Rattus norvegicus: one gene and its partners. The protein of the gene in region 4 binds, or shares a complex with, the protein of the main gene of each other region. Links are inferred from orthologs where the notes say so. Each region holds a gene or a part of one and is shown on either strand. Other genes may lie near its edges. The genes, in order: Cnot2, Cnot8, Cnot11, Cnot10, Cnot9 and Cnot7.

The links.
Region 1: Cnot10 (region 4) and Cnot2 share a complex: the UniProt entries of both Homo sapiens proteins name them as parts of the CCR4-NOT complex. The link is inferred for Rattus norvegicus from reciprocal best matches to the Homo sapiens genes CNOT10 and CNOT2.
Region 2: Cnot10 (region 4) and Cnot8 share a complex: the UniProt entries of both Homo sapiens proteins name them as parts of the CCR4-NOT complex. The link is inferred for Rattus norvegicus from reciprocal best matches to the Homo sapiens genes CNOT10 and CNOT8.
Region 3: Cnot10 (region 4) and Cnot11 share a complex: the UniProt entries of both Homo sapiens proteins name them as parts of the CCR4-NOT complex. The link is inferred for Rattus norvegicus from reciprocal best matches to the Homo sapiens genes CNOT10 and CNOT11.
Region 5: Cnot10 (region 4) and Cnot9 share a complex: the UniProt entries of both Homo sapiens proteins name them as parts of the CCR4-NOT complex. The link is inferred for Rattus norvegicus from reciprocal best matches to the Homo sapiens genes CNOT10 and CNOT9.
Region 6: Cnot10 (region 4) and Cnot7 share a complex: the UniProt entries of both Homo sapiens proteins name them as parts of the CCR4-NOT complex. The link is inferred for Rattus norvegicus from reciprocal best matches to the Homo sapiens genes CNOT10 and CNOT7.

Annotation. Positions count from the first base shown.
Region 1 is NC_086025.1:54,105,161-54,109,460, reverse strand, and holds the start of Cnot2 (CCR4-NOT transcription complex subunit 2), read left to right. Parts: upstream 1-1,500; 5' UTR 1,501-1,889; coding exon of another isoform or gene 1,890-1,894; intron 1,895-2,148; exon of another isoform or gene 2,149-2,799; intron 2,800-4,300. UniProt on the Homo sapiens protein: Component of the CCR4-NOT complex which is one of the major cellular mRNA deadenylases and is linked to various cellular processes including bulk mRNA degradation, miRNA-mediated repression, translational repression during translational initiation and general transcription regulation.
Region 2 is NC_086028.1:42,781,058-42,785,045, forward strand, and holds the start of Cnot8 (CCR4-NOT transcription complex subunit 8), read left to right. Parts: upstream 1-1,188; 5' UTR 1,189-1,228; intron 1,229-1,244; exon of another isoform or gene 1,245-1,370; intron 1,371-2,463; exon of another isoform or gene 2,464-2,537; intron 2,538-2,671; exon of another isoform or gene 2,672-2,697; 5' UTR 2,698-2,793; intron 2,794-3,988. UniProt on the Homo sapiens protein: Has 3'-5' poly(A) exoribonuclease activity for synthetic poly(A) RNA substrate. Its function seems to be partially redundant with that of CNOT7.
Region 3 is NC_086027.1:49,313,624-49,317,123, forward strand, and holds part of Cnot11 (CCR4-NOT transcription complex subunit 11), read left to right. Parts: intron 1-1,948; coding exon 1,949-2,151; intron 2,152-3,500. UniProt on the Homo sapiens protein: Component of the CCR4-NOT complex which is one of the major cellular mRNA deadenylases and is linked to various cellular processes including bulk mRNA degradation, miRNA-mediated repression, translational repression during translational initiation and general transcription regulation.
Region 4 is NC_086026.1:123,158,175-123,160,671, reverse strand, and holds the end of Cnot10 (CCR4-NOT transcription complex subunit 10), read left to right. Parts: intron 1-329; exon of another isoform or gene 330-715; intron 716-1,566; coding exon 1,567-1,721; 3' UTR 1,722-1,997; downstream 1,998-2,497. UniProt on the Homo sapiens protein: Component of the CCR4-NOT complex which is one of the major cellular mRNA deadenylases and is linked to various cellular processes including bulk mRNA degradation, miRNA-mediated repression, translational repression during translational initiation and general transcription regulation.
Region 5 is NC_086027.1:83,553,869-83,557,368, forward strand, and holds part of Cnot9 (CCR4-NOT transcription complex subunit 9), read left to right. Parts: intron 1-7; coding exon 8-106; intron 107-614; coding exon 615-706; intron 707-2,128; coding exon 2,129-2,297; 3' UTR 2,298-3,500. UniProt on the Homo sapiens protein: Component of the CCR4-NOT complex which is one of the major cellular mRNA deadenylases and is linked to various cellular processes including bulk mRNA degradation, miRNA-mediated repression, translational repression during translational initiation and general transcription regulation.
Region 6 is NC_086034.1:58,495,882-58,498,543, reverse strand, and holds the end of Cnot7 (CCR4-NOT transcription complex subunit 7), read right to left. Parts: intron 2,088-2,662; coding exon 1,959-2,087; 3' UTR 501-1,958; downstream 1-500. UniProt on the Homo sapiens protein: Has 3'-5' poly(A) exoribonuclease activity for synthetic poly(A) RNA substrate. Its function seems to be partially redundant with that of CNOT8.

The DNA of each region.
Region 1 (4,300 bases), on a different chromosome or scaffold from region 4:
AATGTTAGGTCATTCATTGAATGCTTTCCTAGCATTCCAGTTCCACATATTAATTTGCTCCACACATTAATTAAGAAAATGTTATCTCACCTAGTAAAACCCAATCATAGTAAAACTCAGACCTTCTCCACTGAAAGCAATTTTTAAAACTTGGACAAAAATGTGTTAAGTTAATATAGGTAAGAAGAGTAATGAATTCAAATATTTAATGTTATTTAATGTGATAATGCTACTATATACACATAAAGGGCTCCAAATAATTAGTAGCCAGATTAAGGTGCTCTGTATTACATGCATTCATACACAAGAACTGTACGTGCCTAGAGGTATACTCAGTCTTTGAACACACTACCTTACAGCAGTAGATGTTAACTTGAGAGGAAGAGAAAGCAGAAGAGATAGGAAAGCACTCTTGGGGGAGGGGCCATATAGGACTGTGTAGTTCCTTCTTGAATTTCCCTGAAGTAAAACCAAAACAAAACACAAAAGGGTAAAATGGAGTATTTAATGAAAAACCCAGCAAAATAAACCTTTTCTATTTGGCTATACCAGTTCCTGTTGATATTTAAACAAATTTACATATCTACTGTTATGCATATTTGCTGATAAACCAAAATACCTTCAAAACCTTGACAAAAGTACTTTTAATTTCATCTTGGGTTTTATCTTCCTTTTTCTGGCCTTCAACTATGATAAACCGAAGTGATATATATTGGTTGATTGGGGTGGGGGATGGGGCTGGAAGAAGGTAATTTTAAAAAAATAAAACAGCAGAAATTTTATTTACTTCAAATTAGTAGTAATCCACATTAATAAGTTCTACCACTCAAACAGGAATAGCAATGCGTTATGAAACTAGTAACTTCAAAACACACAGAGGCTTTTTTCGCAAGTTTAGTAACCATAAAACACGAAGTTTATGGATGTTCAAAGGAGTAAAGTAAGAGTATTACAGCAATGAAAACGAATTTTACTTTCAGGGATTGCACTGTTTTGGAGAACAAAACCCTGGAAGTTCCCACCACAGCCACCGTATTTTCAAAAGGTTTAGTGGATGAGCCAGCTGATCACTAAGGTTTACAAAGGGCGCGCCGGGCGGGAACTAAGTAAAATGCCATAAACATCGGACGGTTAGATTAAGCCCTCCCCGTGGTGCTTTAAAAACACGTTCCCCTTACTTCCTCTCACCAGGTTTGAACCGAAAAAACATATGAAAAGGAAGAGGGGGGGCGGCGATCAGACGCCCAGGTTCCAGCGGAGGGGAACTCACTGCTCAGGGGGGTGCCGGCGGCGTGCGGCGGGTGTTTGGGGGTGCGCACCCGGGAAGCGCAGGCTGCGGAACGACGATTGGACCTGAGTACCGCTGCCACTGCGCCGGCAGGTAGTAGTAGCACTAGCCCGGGGACAGACTGCAGGAGGTGCTCGGGGGCGGGGTGTCCGACGAAAACACAAACACAAACACGCTGTGCGTCCCCAGGTGGGCGGACCCACGCTGCCTCAGCATTTCCCCGCCCCCGCCCCCGAGGCCGCTCTCGGACCCCAGGCCGCAGCTCCTGGTGTGGCGGTCTGGCTTGGGAAGCCCGGCGAGGCCTCGGAGGCCCCACTTTCCGTAATCGCCACAAGGCAGCGCCGCACCTCCGCGGGAGGTGGCGGGACGCCTGGCGGAAGCCCGGGAAGGCTCCTGAGGAGCGCCGTGCTTCTCACCGTCGACCGGCGTTCGGGAAACACTCTGTCCTTGAGGCGAGCATCGCTCGCCACCTTCTGCCGCCGCCTTAGAGCGAAGTCGGAGCGACGGGGGTCACGGCGGGGGTCAGAGGGTAAAGGTCTTGCTCCCAGCAGCCTCCGCGGTGGATACGTCGCCATCTTGGATCCGCGGGACAAGAAAATTCATGCGGTGAGTTTTTGGCAAATTTTCGGAAGTCTGGCAGCGGGGCGCGCGGCGGGGGAGGCGGATTGAGGGCCCCCTCAAGGCGGGGGAATGCCTCGGGGCTGGTCCGGTCGCGCCCGGGGTCCGCGGGTAGCGTCCCGGCCCGCCGCTTCCCGTTGCTTTTGTCTCGGCTCCAATCGAGAGAGGGAGAGCGGAGCGGGCGGGGAGGGGGGTGGCGGCGCTGGAGGAGGGAGGGGGTGTGTGGCGGGGTGGACAAGACGTAAAGCGTCGCCGTGCTCGGGCCGCCGCCGCCGCCGCCGCCGCCGCCGCAGCCGCTGCAGCTCCGGAGCCTAGGCCCGGTCCTGGCTGCCCGCGACGGGGCTTTCCCGGTACTCCGCTTCCCCGGCTCCCGCCGGCGCGGAGCAGCCACTGCCGCCGTGCTGCTTCCTGGGGTAGGAGAGAAGGCGGCAGCGGCAGCGGCAGCATCCGAGGAGCCCCGGCCGCTTTAGACGGCTCTGCCACGTTCCCAGCAGCTGCTGGTCCTTGAATCTTCCCATTCTGGCAATACACGCGCATCCTCCGCCACTTGTGTGTTTTTGTTTGTGTAAGATGGGGACATCGCACTGGCTAACGGGCCTCAGGAGCCTCCAGGCCCTGAGATACCGAAGGGCCTTGCAAGGTAGAGGGAGGAGAGCAACTTAAGATGCTGCTTCTGCCACCGTACCCGGAGAGGGAAGCTTCTCTTGTGGTGTAGACTTGAGTTCGGATGGTCCTGGGGCAGCGGAGGAGGAACCGGAGACACTCTGAAGTTGCAAGCCCTGGTTTCTACTTCCGCCGGGCCCTCTCTACCTTTTGCTGTTTTAGGTCTTCACTTCAAAGTTTCATAGAAGAAATAAGTTGGGTTAAAAGAAACCCGATAGTTCTTAATTGAGGTACTGTTTGCTTAGGAGAAAGCTTAGAATCCTTGTTATCTGTAGGCCCTTAGGGGAATCTAATTGTACTTTTCTTTTCGTAAAATTATTTCTAAGGTTTTGTTTTTTGCATTTACTTTAGACCCCATTAGTATGTTATTACTTCCAAAAATATCTTACACACTTTCTTGGAAATCCTAGGGGACATCTCCACTTTTCAGCATCTGGAAAAACAAGTGTTAAGAGTGTTTTGCTTCATTTTCATTAAATTCTTAGCCAAGAATTTCTCTTTAATCATCTGGACAGTTCCTAATAAAATATAGCAATATGATCCTTAGATTCTTGGCGAATGGTAGAAAGTATGATACTGAGTTAACCAAATCTGTTCACAAGGGAGACATTTGATGTTCAAAAACACATTTTTCTATTATTCTCCATAGTGAGAAATTTTAAGGAGATGGAATTGTGTTCTTATAGATTTCCCTTTCCAAACAAATAAGTGAGGGTAATTTATATGGAGCGAGTGGGATAGAAATTTAAACTTTCACAACAGTTTATGTTTGGAAATGCTTGGCATATTCAACACAGTTCCTTCTCAAAAGTCACCTTTGTAGTTTTATAAGGTATTTTATTCCAAGTTGGAAGTGTTGTTTAAAAATCCAGTACACTGAAATGACTGTCTACATTCACATATTGTCTGTGTTGAGGTTTTGTGTCTTTGATATGTTTTCTTAATGATCCAAGATCATTAACAAGGATCCTTATGCTCTCCTATCTAGTCTGTTGTTATCTTAAAGCTAAAGGAAAAGTTCAAAATGCACAATTTCTTTTACTTTTCACTTTTACTGACTTTGCAGGATCCTTATTTTTAAAATGGAACCTTTTCATTTTTTAAAAAGTGACTTTTTTCTAAGTATTTTATAACTCTAGACCAGAAATAAAAACTGTATTTAGCTTTTTTTTCTTTGCATTCCTGTTAATGCTTTACTAATATACAGAAGTTAAGGTAGTGCATGTGTTGACAGAGCACTTGGGTTCTAAGATACAGTCTAGAGATATCTGTAACCCTACCAGATGCTAGAGGCTGAGAGTCATCTGCACATCAGTAAATGCAGCCTTTGGAAAATTCTGTTTCTAAAGTGCTTTAAAATAAATTTGTTTGGTGGAAAATGAAGCAGATTGATGTCTGTGAGTGGTTTTTATCCCAGCCATCTGAGAACTCTTTGATTTGAAAATGAAATCAAGCTCCAAATGATATGCTCCCTAAAATAATAATCACCTTTATTTTCCCTATATAAAGGTGGGTGCTTTTTGGTTTTTCAGAGATGCCTTAGATTTATTAAAACTTCAAAAATAAATATTTTATACTGCTGGTAAATTAGAAATACCAGTAATCCTTCTCTGCTCATTTCTTTTCTTTTTTTTTTTTTTTCCCCCCGGAGCTGGGGACTGAACCCAGGGCCTTGCGCTTGCTAGGCAAGCTCTCTACCATTGAGCTTAATCCCCAACCCTTGCTCATTTC
Region 2 (3,988 bases), on a different chromosome or scaffold from region 4:
GGTCCCCAGCTCCGAAAAAAAAAAAAAGAACCAAAAAAAAAAAAAAAAAAAAACACTTCTGGGGCTGTAGAGATGGCTCAGCGGTTACGAGCACTGACTGCTTTTCCAGAGGTCCTGAGTTCAAGTCCCAGCAACCACATGGTGTCTCATAACCATCTGTAATGAGATCTGATGCCCTCTTCTGGTGTGTCTGAAGACAGCTACAGTGTACTTATACGTAATAAACAAATAAATAAAAGTTAAAAAAAAACTTCTGGAATAAAAGTTTAACATAAAAAGGGCAGAGTAACTGGGGGATGGGACGTCAGAGGGGGACACCTGCTGTCCGCCTACCTACAGAGCCCCTTGGAGAGGAAGCACCAGGGATGGAGGCTGGAGCTGCGCTAGAGGAGGAGGCGGTCCTCAGAGGCCTTAGTCTTCTCGCCGCGTGGGAGAGCACGAGATGGCGATGCATCCCAGCATGGCCTCGCTGCCAGCTGAACCCTCTCCGGGACTGGCCCCTCTCTCTGCACAGGCCCGGGTGCAGCGCTGCTTATGCTAGCTGGTTGCCAAGACAACGTTCCGTCTAGGTCCTGGGAGGCAGTGCTCAGCTGACCTCAGTTAAGACTTAATTTGGTGGCGCCCCCCAAACCCCCACCTAATGGCCATTCAGAAGGGGTTCTATGGATAGATGTTCTCTGAGTGAGGAGTTCAGGTCGCAGTAATCGAGGGTCAGGACACCCCATGTTCCCTGCACCATCACCTCCAACCAATAGTCCTAATACGCCCTGATGTCAGGAAGTGGGGCCAACTCTAGATTCCGTCTTCTCCCGAGGCGCGACTTAGGATATTTCAGAACCCAGAAGGGGATCCAATTTACACAGCTTGACGCCGTCTGAGGCCGCAGGGCATACCTCGTTTTGCGCACGCGCCCTCCGAAAACCCTAATTTTCTCGTTCTGCGCCTGCGCAAGAAGGCGGAGCGCGTGTATCTGAGCGCGCACTGGGGGAGGAGCCGAGACTGGCGGGCCCGCGCACGCCTCGAGTGACGCGAAGAGTAGGCGAGTCGGGAGGGCCGAAGGGTAGAGAGGCTCAACCTTCTGGTTTGTTGCAAATCGTAGGCCGCTCTGGGCTCCGGGGCTTGCGTCTCATTGTCGTGTTGGGTTCCTGGAGCGGATCCGGGGCAAGAGGGAGGAGAGCTCGGGGTCAAGGGCCGCTGCCGCCCGCACTCGGCGGGGCCGCCAGCCAGGGTAAGCAGGCTGGGTTGCCCAGGGTAGGAGCTCGAGGCGGAAGTGCCTCCGTGGCGACCCATCCTACACACGGGAACACTGAGGCTAGGGGGGCTCTTGGTCCCCTAAGTCCAGCCTGGAGGCCTAAGGAGGCGGGGGGAAGGCAAGAGGCCTCTCTGCTTGGATCTTGGGGTGCTGCAGCTTTGCGTGGCAGAGCCGCTCTCGGGTAGCCAGCAAGCTGGATGGGGTGCCGTCTGAGTTCAGGGCTGTGGCCTGGAACGCTCCAGAGGGGACCTGTTGCCATTTCTTCTAACGGGCCGCTGCTTCCTCCTTCGCCGGTCTTGCTCGGCTAAGCCTTTTGTTTAGTCTTCTGGAACAGGGAAGTGAAGCTTTTTGTTTCCCAGACGCTCTGGCGAAAACAAAACCAGACAAGTAGGAGACACTCAGCTGAACTGTCTGCAAGGCTAGCAAGGAGAGCATGTTTCTTGAGCTCTCACTTGCTTGCACTTCTTGCACTACTGCTCACCTGGGTGCACAGAGACCCTGCTCCGAAGTTTGGATAATCAGGAGCGGTTTCAATCAGGAGATTGTTTTGCTCGCTCGCATACACACACACACTCCCCCCCCCCTCTCTGTGTCTCTGTGTCTCTGTGTCTCTGTGTGTGTGAGAACACAGGGCAGGGTGTGCGTGTGTCTGTGGTGTATGTGTGTGTGTGAGAACACAGAGCAAGGTGTGTGTGTATGTATGTGAGTGTGAGAACACCTTTTGCTTTGCAGTTTCAAATGTAGCTGGATTGGGGATCAAGTTTTAAAGCCAGCCTGTGAGGCAAACATTACATGGGATCAAAATTTTCCTTTAAGGAGTTGGAGAGATCGCTTAGGTGTTGATGCACTCAACCCTTCTTTCACATACTCATAAATAAATGGAATAAAAATAAATCTTTAGAGGAGAATGCAGCCTCAACCTCTGAACCTTCCTGAAGAACTTTGAAGGATTTTTTTTTTAGGGATTAATGTTTATTAGTGTATGAATTTGCAATTAATGCCATGTGTGTTGGTGGCAAAAATAGGCCAAAAAGGTGTCAACGTTCTCTGGAGCTGGAGTTACAGGCATTTGTGAGCCAACTCACATGAGTGCTGGAAACCAAACTCTGGTCTGCAAGAGCAGCAAGTGCTCTTAACTGCTCAGCCATTACTCCAGCCCTCATTCTGCTTTAAGCTTTATTATTATTATTATTTTTTTTTTTTGTTCTTTTTTTCGGAACTGGGGATCGAACCCAGGGCCTTGTGCTTTCTAGGCAAGTGCTCTACCACTGAGCTAAATCCCCAACCCCTTTATTATTATTGTTGTTGTTGTTGTTGTTCTTGTTATTATTGGTGTACACATGTGCCAAGTTGCATCATCATCATCATCTGTGTGTACACATGTGCCAAGTTGCTCAGCTGGCTCACTGACTGGTTTAGTTTGCTTTCTTTTCTTTTAAAAACAGGGTCGCAGCTGGTTGTGGTGGTACTTGCCTTTAACCCCAGCAGTTGGAGGCTGAGGCAGTTGGATCTCCGAATCCAAGGCCTGTTTGGTGTACACGGTGAGTTCCAGCACAGCCAGGGCTACAGAGAGAAACCTGTCTCAAAGGACAAAACAGAACAGTGAAATAAAAGCAGGGTCTCCTCCAACTGGCCTGGTGACTCCTTTCTCAGCCTCCTGAGCGTGGGATTGCTGTCTTATTTCTGAGTGTATATAGCTCAGGATGCCATTTTTTTTTTAAGTCGTGAAATTCATTATTGCTCTTCTGGTTGTAACCTAAATAATGAGGTTACTTCAGGGGCTGTTATACTAATAACTGTACTTGAAAACATAGACTCACTTCATCTGAGGTATGGGAAAGAGAGGCTGAAGAAAAGAAGTGTGCTGCTTCTTAGAGCCTGGGCTCCCTGGGTGGAAAGTGGAGGAGGCTGGTTGCCTGTGTGGAGTTGCTGTTTTCTCTCTTCCCTGTGGCCAGCATGCCAAAAAGTTCACTTGCTTAGTAAAATGTGCCTTATGTGATCTCCCTTGTACGTCTGCAAAGGATCCCTTGTGGATCTATCTGAATTATAGGGTCTGAAGCCAAGGCTGATCTGGAACTTTCCAAGTTTTAGCACAGGCATCCTCTTCATTGGAAAGGATCTGCCTTTCCTGGGCTGAAATCTGCCGATCGTATCTGCACAGATTTGCTAGGGAAAGGTTTGCTGCAGGGATGACTTGTGTGTCTTTGCCAGTGTCTGCTCCTGTGTGGCTGCCCTTTACCTGATAATAATGTAACAGTAGCTTTGAAAGTGGTTGGCTTCCCGAAACAAACTCTTTCTTTAGGCAGTTTGTTTCTTTATGCCTGTGTTTTAATGGAAACAACTTTCAGCAGTCCAGGACTGACACCCACTTCCCTGCTATGTAGTTTATGGCTTGCTTAGGGAAACAAGGTTGTTGTTTTCAGTAACCAGACATGGGAAGTGACTTCAAGAGCCAGGTGCAGTGGCTCATGCTGATAGCTGCAGCACTTGGGAGGCAGAAACAGGAGGATTTTTACAAGTTCAGAGGCCGGCCTGGAGAAGTCTGGAGTAAACATTTTCTCAGTTGTCAGGAAGTTGAATTTACTGGGCATTCATTGTGAGTGAGCATCTTTCCTAGTCTCTGCTAGTTCACTTGCCAGCCTTTATTAATAAAAGAAAAACCGGAGAAGAAATGGATTGTGCCTTCAGGAGGCAGCTGCCACATGTTTCTTTATGTTGAGAGCCACCACTCAGTGT
Region 3 (3,500 bases), on a different chromosome or scaffold from region 4:
GTTTGGGTTCAAACCCAGGAGTGTTTGTGTAAAAGGAAAGGATGCCACAGGTCAGCCATGTCTCCAGCCCCCTAGATGAGTCTCCCTAACGTGTGTCCAGTGGAGGTCCTTTTATACCTAGTAGTCTTACCATCTCCATCCGTCTGTCTGACCATAGCTGACAGTCCTTACTCTGCTTTCCCTGGAAACCAACCAAACCAAACAGAAACCCACGGGTACCATCTGGGTGGTTTGAGTGATGAAGACGTTCTGCATAGGGGGTAGAGCATCATCCCCTGGTCACAGGACGTCCAGGATTTTGAAGCGTACGTCAAATGTGACTTCCATTCGGTGTAATCTCTGTGGCATAAGAGGGTTTACTGTTTGCAGTTTCAGCTCATTACAAGCCTGTCTCCAGTTATGTGGTGGTTTGGTTTGTACAGGATTTCTCTAAGTAGCCCTGGCTATCCTATAACTTACTCTGGCCTGGAGCTCAGAGATCCACCTGCCTCTGGGTTTGATTGCATGGACCATTGGTCAGCTATGTGCATAACTGAGCATAGCTGCACCTCAGCATCCCTACCTCTCAGGAGAAGTACTTCCTTGTGCTGAAGGCTCTTTGTGAGGAGAGGTAACGGGAATTCACTCTGGTGATGCTGGTGAGGGGACCCTGGAGATAATTGGCTTGGTGATCCTTTGCCAGGAACAAGCCAGATCTCCACTTCGGCTGATAGTGGGATCCATAATACAATGAACTACCTTCTGTCCTGTGTGGAAAATGCTCTCCGGAAGGCTGTGATGGGACTGGGTAAAATCAAGCAGGGAGAGGGAGTTCTTGTACCCCAGTGTAGTGGAAATTACGAAGTTCTTATCTCCTGGGCCTTTTGTGGGGCTTAGCAGGCAGGCAGGATGCACAGCTGGATAGAGGACTGGGTGTCTATCGTGTTAAATACTGAGATTTATAGTAAAGTTGTCTTATTGTGCGTGGTTGTTTGTGTATAGCACTGTGGGTCACTGGAGTTAGGCTGCATGTGTTATATATAAGAACATAATACACCACTGGGGCAAGCTGTGTGTTCAGGTGTTGTCAGATGAGGTCTCATTGTGTAGCTACTGAATGAAGGACAATGTTAGTTCAGAAGTACTGATGAGTTACACATCAACCTTGAGTTGTGGGGATAGCCCCAAGCACGATGTATAGCATTCTGAGACCCTAGGGGCCAAAAAAAGAAAGGGGGTTGGGGGGCTCATAAAATTTTAATTTTATGTTAGGTATGGTGACAATACCTTTAGTCCCAGCACTTGGGAAGCAGAGGCAGGCAGATCTCTGTGAGTTTGAGGGTAGCCTGGTCTACATAGTGAATCCCAGGATAGTCAGGGACATAATGAGACTTTAAGATAACAATCAAGGGTTGGGGATTTGGCTCACTGGTAGAGCGCTTGCCTAGCAAGCGCAAGGCCCTGGGTTCAGTCCCCAGCTCCAAAAAAAAAAAAAAAAAAAAAAAATTAGGAAAAAAAAAAAGATAACAATCATAATCATCAGCCAAGTTGACATCTGCGTCCTCAGCCTAAGTGGATATGCTTGCATTAAAACTTAATTCATGGGGTTGGGGATTTAGCTCAGTGGTAGAGCACTTGCCTAGCAAGCGCAAGGCCCTGGGTTCAATCCCCAGCTCCGGGAAAAAAAAAAAACAAAAAAAACCTTAATTCTTTCTAAAAAACAGATTTGGTATCTGGCATCATGCTGGTGTGTGTGTGTGTGTTTGTGTGTGTGTGTGTGTGTGTGTGTGTGTGTGTGTGTGTGTGTGTGTTGGTTATAATTTGAGCAGAACTCTGATCTTATATTATTACTATTTGAAGCATGTTTTATAATGTGTCCTTGTTAAAGGCATTCTTGTACTTGATTAAATGCATATAGGGTGTGTGTAAATGTTAGCTTGCTGATAGTCTTGTATTACTCTCATTATAGGTCATTTTCGCCCAGAGTTCATCCGCCCACCACCACCTCTCCACATCTGTGAGGATGAACTGGCCTGGCTCAATCCTACAGAACCCGAGCATGCCATTCAATGGGACAGGTCAATGTGTGTGAAGAATAGCACTGGTGTGGAGATCAAGAGGATCATGGCAAAAGCCTTCAAAAGCCCTCTGTCCTCTCCCCAACAAACACAGGTATGTATGGATTACACTATCCCATCTGTGCTCATCACAGTTTTCTTCCCAGGAAGTAGTAAGTGGGCAGTCAGTTGTTGATGTGAACCAGCAGGAGCAACAGAGGTCTTCACAATCCCAGCCGCTGTGTTGTGACCTTTCCTTGTTTGGCAGTTTTGCTCCGCTGAGACAAGAGGTCTAATGACTAAAAATGTCTAGACTCTTCCATTTTGTCTTGGAGAGAGGTAGGAGAGGGCGAGTGTCAGTCGGGCACATCATCTGCATTACTGCATCAGGCTGGACAGTGACTCTGGATGGTGTATGGGGTTACTAGTGTTTTATAAAAAAGGAGGTTCAGGGAATGCTCTAGACATTAGCTACAGTGTTTAATGGTAGACTGAGGATATCTTTCCTGCTACCCAAAGTTACAACTAGATGGATCCCCTGAGGAAGCAGAGCAAAGATACCAGGTGGTTGTAGATTTTGTTAGATTTTCACACTTTCAAGTTAGAACTGATAGGAAGACACACTTACCTCCAAGCTAGTTTTTTATTTAAAGTACAGATTTTTTTTTTTTAAAGATTTATTTATTTTTTTATACATAAGTACTTGCTGTCTTCAGACACCAGAAGAGGGCATTAAATCCCATCACAGATGGTTGTGAGCCACCATGTGGTTGCTGGGAATTGAACTCAGACCTCTGGAAGAGCAGTCAGTGCTCTTAACCACTGAGCCATCTCTCCAGCCCCTAAAGTACAGATTTTTTAAAAAGTTTGTTTTATACACATGGGTGGTTTGTCTGCATGTATATCTGTGTACCATGTGCATGCAGTGTCCACAGATGCCAGAAGAGAGCATCATCCTCTGGAACTGGACTTAGTGATACTGTGAGCCTCCATGTGAGTGCTGGGAACCAAACCCTGGTCCTCTAGAGAGTAGCAAGTGCTCCTGACCACTGAACTATTTCCTGGCCTCCCCACAAATATTTTTAAGTGATGTGATAACAGTTGTAGTCTGTTGCTCTTAGATGATCATGAAATGGTCCAGTGTTGAATACACAAGTAGGTAAAAGGAGATAGAGTTAGAAGGGATGGGTGTGATGCGTGCCTGCAACCCCAGCACGTGGGAGACAGAGACTGAGACTCAGCAGTTACAGGCCAGGCTCCACGGGATGAGGAGCTCAAAGCCAGCCTCAAAATAAATGGACTTTTAAAAGAAAGAAAAAGTACATATTTGGACAGAGAGAAAAAATGTTTTCCCACCTCTTGGATTTGCAAAGCATGGGTGTGTTTTGAGCCGTGAAGTACTGCAGGTGGAGGACGGAAGTGTTGCCTGTTCTGTCCCTCTCTGGGGCGCTTGGGTAAGACAGG
Region 4 (2,497 bases):
ATACTGTCTGTTTTCAGACACACCAGAAGAGGGCATCAGATCCCATTACAGATGGTTGTGAACCACCATGTGGTTGCTGGGATTTGAACTCAGGACCTCTGGAAGAGCAGACAGTGCTCTTAACCACTGAGCCACCTCTCCAGCCCACATGAAGTTTGTCATGAGCAGCTGACTGACTCTTAATTGAGAACGTAGACCACGGTGCTGCTTGCTTGGAATTGCACAGCGCAGTATTTTTGTTTGGTTGGGTTTTTTTTGTTTTGTTCTTTGTTTTTTGGGTTTTTTTTTTTTTTTCTTTTTTTTGGTTTGGTTTGGTTTGGGTTTGTTTTTTAAAAGGATCTCTGGCAAAGTTTTATTAAAGGAAAACTTTCTTGTTTACTTCTCTTCTCACCGGTCTATTCTGGCGTGCTTTTAATAATATGAGAATCACCTGGGTCACTGACAGCCAGTGTGCATACTCTGTAGTATTTTCCACACGCTGTGCCCAATTCAGTGTTATTGCCACTGTGCTGATGGACACCAGTTTAAGCCAACGTGGCATAGTACTCTATTTCAGATTTCCTCAAAGCTGGGCAGTTGCTGGTGAGGATAACCAGGTTGCCTTGTCTGATCGTCTTCAGATCTGTCTGTGCCCCAGCACGTGCTTGCCACTTTTCATAACAAGCTGGAGCCTAGAGTTGATGGACTCCAGAGACTTTTTCGTCTTTTTTTTTTTAATTATTTTATGTATATGAGTATACTATAGCTTCAGACACTCCAGAAGAGGGCATCGGATCCCATTACAGATGGTTGTGAGCCACCATGTGGTTGCTGGGGATTGAACTCAGAACCTCTGGAATAGCAGTCAGTGCTCTTAACCGCTGAGCCATCTCCCCAGCCCACTTTTTCCGTCTTCTTTGCAGCCACCATCTTCTTGCCTTAGGTGCGGGACAACCCCCAACCAAGATCAAACGCCAAGATGGCTGGGGAGCGAGAAAGGGCTGGTTGTTATTTTTTTATCTGTTATTTTTATTCTTTTGTGTTTGTAATGGGTTCCACTATGTTGCCCTGGCTGGTCTGGAACTTACTGTGTAGACCAAACTGGCCACAAACTTATAGATCCAGCAGCCTCTGCCTCTTAACTAATGTATGTGATTAAATGTATATTCCACTGCTCCACACGCATTTTACAAGAATTGTCAAAAAAAAAAAAAAATCAAAGCCAGGCACTTGGGAATTGAACCTGGGTCCTCTGGAAGAGCAGCCTGTGTTCTTAACCTCTGAGCCATCTCTCCAGCATCTTCTGTTTTTATAGTTGAAGAGACTAATTAAATGCCTGGCACTCTGAGGGCCTGGCTGACTGAAAGCCAGGATGTCTATAGGAGGTGGTAGGCCTGAATCCCTTGAACCCCTTCTGTTGTACAGCCTGCCTGAGTTATAAAAACTTGTCTGGGCATCAGTTCCTCGTCCAGCTGGGGCAAGAGAGCAGAGCTGTCTAGGACTCCGTCATCTCCTTTTCAGGCTTCTGTCACCTTGCTCTGTACAGTGCTGTGTGCCTGCTCTCTTTAATGGACTGTGTTTCTCTAGGTAACACGCAGCTGGCCTTGCAGATGATCAAACGGAACCAGCTGCTCCCTGCAGTAAAGGCGCACTCCGATGTGAGGAAGAAGACAGTATTCCAGCCTGTGCACCCCATCCAGCCCATCCAGATGCCGGCATTCACCACGGTACAGAGGAAGTGAGCGCTCGCTGTGGAGGAGCTGTACCTGAGGCCCAGGGCGTGTTGAGGGCCTCTCAGTTGTCCACAGGAAAGGCAGTAGAGGAAATACAGTGGCAACAGTGCTGGCCGGAAGGCGGTTTGAGACGAGTGCACCCCTCGGTTTTATGGCAGAGGCTTACTTAAAACTAAGGACTCATAACCCACTGTCAGCTTTTATTTAATCTCTGCAAGTCTTTTAATTGTGAACCATTGTGTTGGTATGTCTGTGTCTAGGCATTAAAACATGTTCTTATCAGAACAGTTTTGTGGTCTGTTTTGAAATAGTTTAGCAACTGATTTATTGTTAAGGTTGAAAAGAAAGAACTAACAGGGGCTGGGGATTTAGCTCAGTGGTAGAGCGCTTACCTAGGAAGCGCAAGGCCCTGGGTTCGGTCACCAGCTCCGAAAAAAAGAACCAAAAAAAAAAAAAAAAAAAAAGAAAGAACTAACAAATATCTGCTCTAAGCATTTCAGAAGTTCTTCTTGGGGTACAGGAAGTGAGGTAAACTCATGCTCACCTCCAGGGTCTGTCTTTTTTTTTTGTTGTTGTTCTTTTTTTTCGGAGCTGGGGACCGAACCCAGGGCCTTGTGCTTCCTAGGTAAGCACTCTACCACTGAGCTAAGTCCCCAACCCTCCAGGGTCTGTCTTAGTCACTGCTCTGTTGCTGTGAAGAGATGCAAAAGGGAAGCATTTAACTGGGGCTGGCTTACAGTGGCAGGGTTAGTCCAGTACCATCGTGGCAGGGAATTTGGTGGCAC
Region 5 (3,500 bases), on a different chromosome or scaffold from region 4:
ACTCCAGGTTGCCACATTCATCCTCCAGAAGATCCTCTTAGATGACACTGGTCTGGCTTATATATGTCAGACATATGAGCGTTTTTCCCATGTTGCCATGATCTTGGTGAGTTCTTTCCTTTACTCTCTTTGCAGTTTATTTTGATCACAAAGCTTAGTCATCTTGTAACTGGTCAAAAACTTAGTCTTCTAACTAGAAATAACTGTTCTGGCCAGGTATGGTGATATATGCCTGTCATTCCAATATCTATAAGGCAGAGGGAGGCAAAAGGATGAATGTGGACTTGAAGCAGCAGCGTGGGTTTCTCACCAGCCAACTGAAGAAGTAGTGTCCTATCCCCAAAATACTAGCTGGAGTGATAGTATATGTCTTTAGTCCCAGAACTCTAGAGGCAGAGGCAGGCAGATCTCTGTGAGTTCAAGTCCAACCTGATCTATGTAGGGAGTGCTTAACTGGCCAAGGCCACATATAGAGACCCTGTCTCAAAAAGGAAAAAAAATCTCAAGAACTTTAAAATGATTCTTAGATGATCTGATTTCTGGTGTCAGTTCAAATTATTTTGTGACTTTCCCCCACATTTTTTTTTTTTTTTTTTTTTTTTTGGGTAAAACAGGGTAAAATGGTCCTGCAGCTATCCAAAGAACCATCTGCCCGTCTGCTGAAGCATGTAGTAAGATGTTACCTTCGACTCTCAGATAATCCCAGGTAAAGATTTAACAGGATTCACAAGATTTGGGAGAAATAGTCTCATGAATGGATTCTAATGTTACGGCTCAGACCCTCTGTCTTGAGTATTAGAACCCATATAACTTTAGTTTACCTAAGAAAAACTTAAGTTCCTGTTAAAATCTAAAATTCTGACTTTAAAGTGCACTAGTGGGCTGGAGAGATGGTTCAGTGGTTAAGAGCCCTGACTGCTCTTCCAGAGGTCCTGAGTTCAAATCCCAGCAACCACATGGTGGCTCACAACCATCTGTAATAAGATCCGATGCCATCTTCTGGTTTCTGAAGACAGTGACAGTGTACTCACATCCATAAAATAAATTAAACTTTGTTTAAAGTGCACTAGTTAGATCTTCCTGTTGTAACTCTGTTCTACCCTGAAATTCCCAAAAGCCCAAGCAATTTCAAGGGAGGCTAGTGCGGTTTGGGCTTTCTATGGCTACTCCAAGTACTCAGAGTACACTTTAAGGTCTCTGCAAAGTCCTGTAGCCTAGAGGCTTTTTTAGCTTGCAGTTCTCTGCTTCCTGTAAACTATGGAGCTCATTACTTTTTCTTGGTAGGTTCAAGAACTCTGCCACAGTCGTGTACTTTGTAGATAGATGTAATGCACTTCAGAAATGTTTGACCTTTTCTCCTGTTAATACATAATTTATGATGAAATCTACATGTTCAGATTCTGCTAAGCCACATAATGGAGTGCTTTCTGAGTTCCTAAGAATCAAGTGGCTTGACTAATGTGAACTGGTCTGTAACCACTGGAGTTATTTGAGCCCTAGCTATTCTTTGATCATTTTGTCCTTTTTTTTTATACCCCCCCACCAGTTTGCAATATACTTATTAGAAATTAACCTGTTTGAGTCTAAGAGCTGAAACTGTGTAGAACAGCTCTGTATAGAGTTGGTATTTGCTTATTTTAGGCTTCTAGATTAAAAACTGCTACCATAGTTTTTACTATTTTTTATTAAGGTTTCAGATACAAAGTTGAAACATTTCTGTAAAACCATAACTGGTGTTAGTGTAAAATTAAAATCGGTTTATCATACAAATAAGGTCATATCTGCTGTTAGTATACAATTTTTTAAATAATTTCATTTCTCAAACTATATCTAATGGTATTTCGACAATATTTATCAATAAATCAGAACAAAGTTTGGAGTGAAATGAACTATTGCATCATATTATTCCATTTTGCTTTTGCGTGAAATTCTGCATTGGGGTGTGGTGAAAATATTTGTGGACTACATAGCACCTACTTTAAGGAATTCTAATGGTTTCTTGGTATAGCTTGATAGCTATAGATTCCTAGGAAGTTGCATGTTTATATCTAAGAAAGGGGGTCTTCCCAGCCCCCAAATGTGGGCTTATTTGTTGTCTTTCTGGTTGGTTTGTTTGTTTCTGATGTAGGGCACGTGAAGCACTCAGACAGTGCCTCCCTGACCAGCTGAAGGACACAACCTTTGCCCAGGTGCTAAAAGATGACACCACCACCAAACGCTGGCTTGCACAACTGGTGAAGAACCTGCAGGAGGGCCAAGTCACCGATCCCCGGGGAATTCCCCTGCCCCCTCAGTGATCCTCGACATTCCCTCTCACTACTCCCCTACGTTGGGGAGTAAGGGTGGAACCTATGAGGAAAACAGCTCAGGTTTTATTGCCGACTGGGAATAGACAACCTCAATGCTGAACTGTACTGGAGAAAAGGGGCAAGGTACCCCACTGAGGTGTGTGGGCTGACTGGAGGTCCTGGATCCCCCTACTGCTCCCAGGAATTGGGCTCCTGACAGCAGTCTGCTACCACAGCCCCAGGAGGGTGTCAACACCAGCAAATGCTGTATTTGCAGCATGCCCAAGATGACCCTGCTCCCCAACCTCTGCCTAGCCACTGGTAGAGAGAGGAGAGGTGGTAATCACAGTAACACTGTAGGCATGGAGAGCACCTGGGACCAAACCATGTGGCTTTTTTTTAAAAAAAAAAAAACAAAAAACAAAAAACTTTGCCTTCCTGGACGACTCAAGGTGTGTCTCTTAATTCTCTCTCACACAGTATTTGTTTACTTTGGATTTTTGTTTTTAATCTCAAAAGAGAGAGATGTGTTTAATGGACACAAGCTGTAGTTTTCAGCAAAACTTTGTCAGTTGGCACTGTTTACACGTCTCTTAGCTGCATAAGCTCAATAAAAGTTGGTCTGGGCATTGCATCCCCTCGGGCAGACCGATGGCGCTATCAGGCTGTTGGGTGGAATGGGAGGCAGGGGAAGAGGAAAGCAAAGCCAAGCAAAAACACTACCAACCATTCCCCTCTGCCCCTGTTGTTTCCCTCGCAAGCCTGGCTGCTGTGAGGACATTCACTTTGGCTCTGGCTTCGGCTGCTAGCCCACCCAAATCTCAGCGCTTGCCCCTTTCCTACCACTTAGACTTAAAGCAGGCGTCTTAATTTACCCAGCCTTCCTTAGAGAGTTGTACTGGGGTGGAGGGAGGCAGTTCTTCAGGTTCAAGTCTTCACAGGTAGTTTCCAGGTGTCTTCTCAAATGGAACAAGCACCTAGATCCAAATGGGGCCCTGACCCCGTTCTTCTCGTGTGGGTTTCAGTAGTGCCATCTCCTCATGATTATACTTGAAGCAGTATTAGCTGAATGAGTTTTTTCAGAGTTAAACAGCTGCACTCTGCTGTCTCAGTCCCCTCTCCCTTTAACACTTTCTTTGGTCTATGGAAACTACAGGGCTACCACTGGAATGTTTTTTACTTGTTGATAGTGTCAGAGTTCCCTTTCCATCT
Region 6 (2,662 bases), on a different chromosome or scaffold from region 4:
GGATGTAATCAGATAAAAAGCTCAACTGGGAAGATTCTTTTGCAAGGGAGTGCAGCTGAACTCACCAACATAGTGAATAATGACTTAGGACAGTCACAACAGCAGGATTAGAGATGTGAGCCTCCACACCCCGTCTTCTTTCAGTCAGGGTAAGGAAGAGAAGACAGTTGATATAAAGGGTACAGCATGCCTTGTTTTATGGCCCAGACCCAGGCTGGAGAATTTACTTATGGACCAGATGGCTTTACTGGAACTTTTTTTTTTCTTTTTTCTTTTTTTCGGAGCTGGGGACCGAACCCAGGGCCTTGCACTTGCTAGCTTACTGGAACTTTAAACACTAAAAAACCAGACCAATTTATTGAAAACACACACACACACACACACACACACCACCCCAGGTACTGAAGCATGACCAAATCCTGTTCCCAGAGAAAATGCCTCAAGTATTCAACACTTCTAAGTGCATGCTTCAAAACCAAAGTCACCAGTCACAAATATATAGGAAAACATTCTTGAAGCCTTTATTTACAAAAGCTTTAAAAACAAATAATACCCTCTGTTTTGCAAATAATGTTTAGTTTAAAAAGGACCGCCCAGGTACAGCATTTTCGTATCATGTATACAGAATGTACAAGGGAAATGAACTGTGTTGCTAACAGTTGGAGACTTTCTAATATTATTGATTGAAGTGTAGATAACACACATTACAACTTGTAGTCCGTCACTTCAGGGTAGAGTTAATGTTCACCAAAATCTTCCAACACATGCTCTGGTGTGGTCACGTATTCTGCATGGCTAAATATTTCACAGTCTCTTGTCAATATATATAAAATAGATTGCAAAGATATACACAAAAAAATAAACAAGCATTACACTCCTCAGGTAATTTTATTAGCTATATGTGTGTATTTATATATATATTTTGCATTTTGTTGTTTTGCACCAAATCTCTCCATTATTTATTTTTGTAGCATTTATGAAATCACATTTTTTTTTGTATTTTTAATTTGATATAAAATGTACCTAAAGACTTGTTATCTTTGGACTTTAATGAAATTGATTTGCGTAGTCAACAAATCAAGAACATCATAAATATGTTTATAAAATAAAACATTAAGGGTAAAAGTGATGGAGTAAAAGGAAGCCGGTCAAGGGAAGCGTTGCTGTCATAAAACTGTAGTTCCACATCTTAAACGCCAGTTTCTTTCTGGCAGAGTGGAAACCTCCAATCGCAAGGGCTTCTTCCTGAAGGGTGTAAAGCTGGTTTGAAATTCTTCAGTCACATAGCAGCCTATGCATGCCAATTAGAAACCAACAGACAGGAGATGTGTTCGGAAGGTTAAACACTACACACAGAAACAGTAGTTACTAGGCTCTTCAGTAGTTCCTTGTCTTCTTGTTAGTCCCGTTGAATCAACAATTTGCACAATGCACGTGCTGTACTCTGAATGTCAAAAACAAGCAAATACTGTAAAAAGGTGGTGGATGGTCATTTTTCTAGCTAAGAGCAAGAAAAATCACAATTTCTGATAAAATAGAGGATTGAAATCACTCTATAAAGTGCAAACTTGATGGTCCACAATCTTAAATACCTATAAGTACTGCAGAATAGGAGGAGAGGCACGGAAGAGGGAAATAAATTACAGTCAATGCTAGTTAATTTAGGAAAGGGAAAAACAAAACCAAGCTCAAGTAGGCAAAGTTTGTCAAATTATTCAGTAATGTAGCTTTGTCACACAAGCTTGATAAGAGGTGTATTAAATTAAGGCCAGATTTAACCTGAATGTACTTTAATTTATTAAGATCATAGCTAAGAAAGGCCATACTTATTACTGAAAGCAGAAAAGAAGGGCTACCAAAGGAGGGGCAGGTATTGCCTATTATTTAAGGGATGATAAAACCTATATACAAGCATGTGTGTAACTCGTATAAAATAAAAATAAGAAGACTATTTCCTGTCACGACTGCTTGCTGGCTTCCTCTTCATATGCATTCCCTGTGCCGTTCTGTACATAGGATGAGCCAGAACCAAGGCCGTATAAGTGGCCACAGTATTTGGCATCATCAATGTGATCTTCAAAGAACATCTAAAAATAAAATCGAAAGAAAAAAATCATCTTAAGCAAATGATATGACCTGTAGTTTATATCTCAACATTGTAATTGCTATTAATTAGGTAGAACAACTCTTTCCCGTGATGTTCCCTGGAGAAGCTATACTGCATATTTAACGAATAAGACTGACTGACGCCCTTCACTACAGGGCTCAAGGACCCTTTAAAATGCAAGTCTTTCTTTTTCATTAACATTTACTTCATCTTAACGAGAATTTATGAGCATAAAAACATGCAGACCGTTTAATTTCTTTAATATAACAACCTTCAAAGAATGAGAGAGATAATGGCAGAAGAAGAGGAGATGTTACACCATTTTAAGTTGTCTTAAGTCTAAGTGCAAGGCTGAATTGATTAAAATTAACCAAACCCTAAACATGTTATAGATAGTAAACACCTGAACATTCTCACTACATTGCCAGCCTTGAAGCCAAGGGCAATAAAGCTAACAAACTGGTGCCAGAAACTCACCATTAACTAGCTATAAGGCATTTTTAAAATAAAAATCCAAAAGGTGGTTCTATATTGAAACTAAACAATTTACTTGCG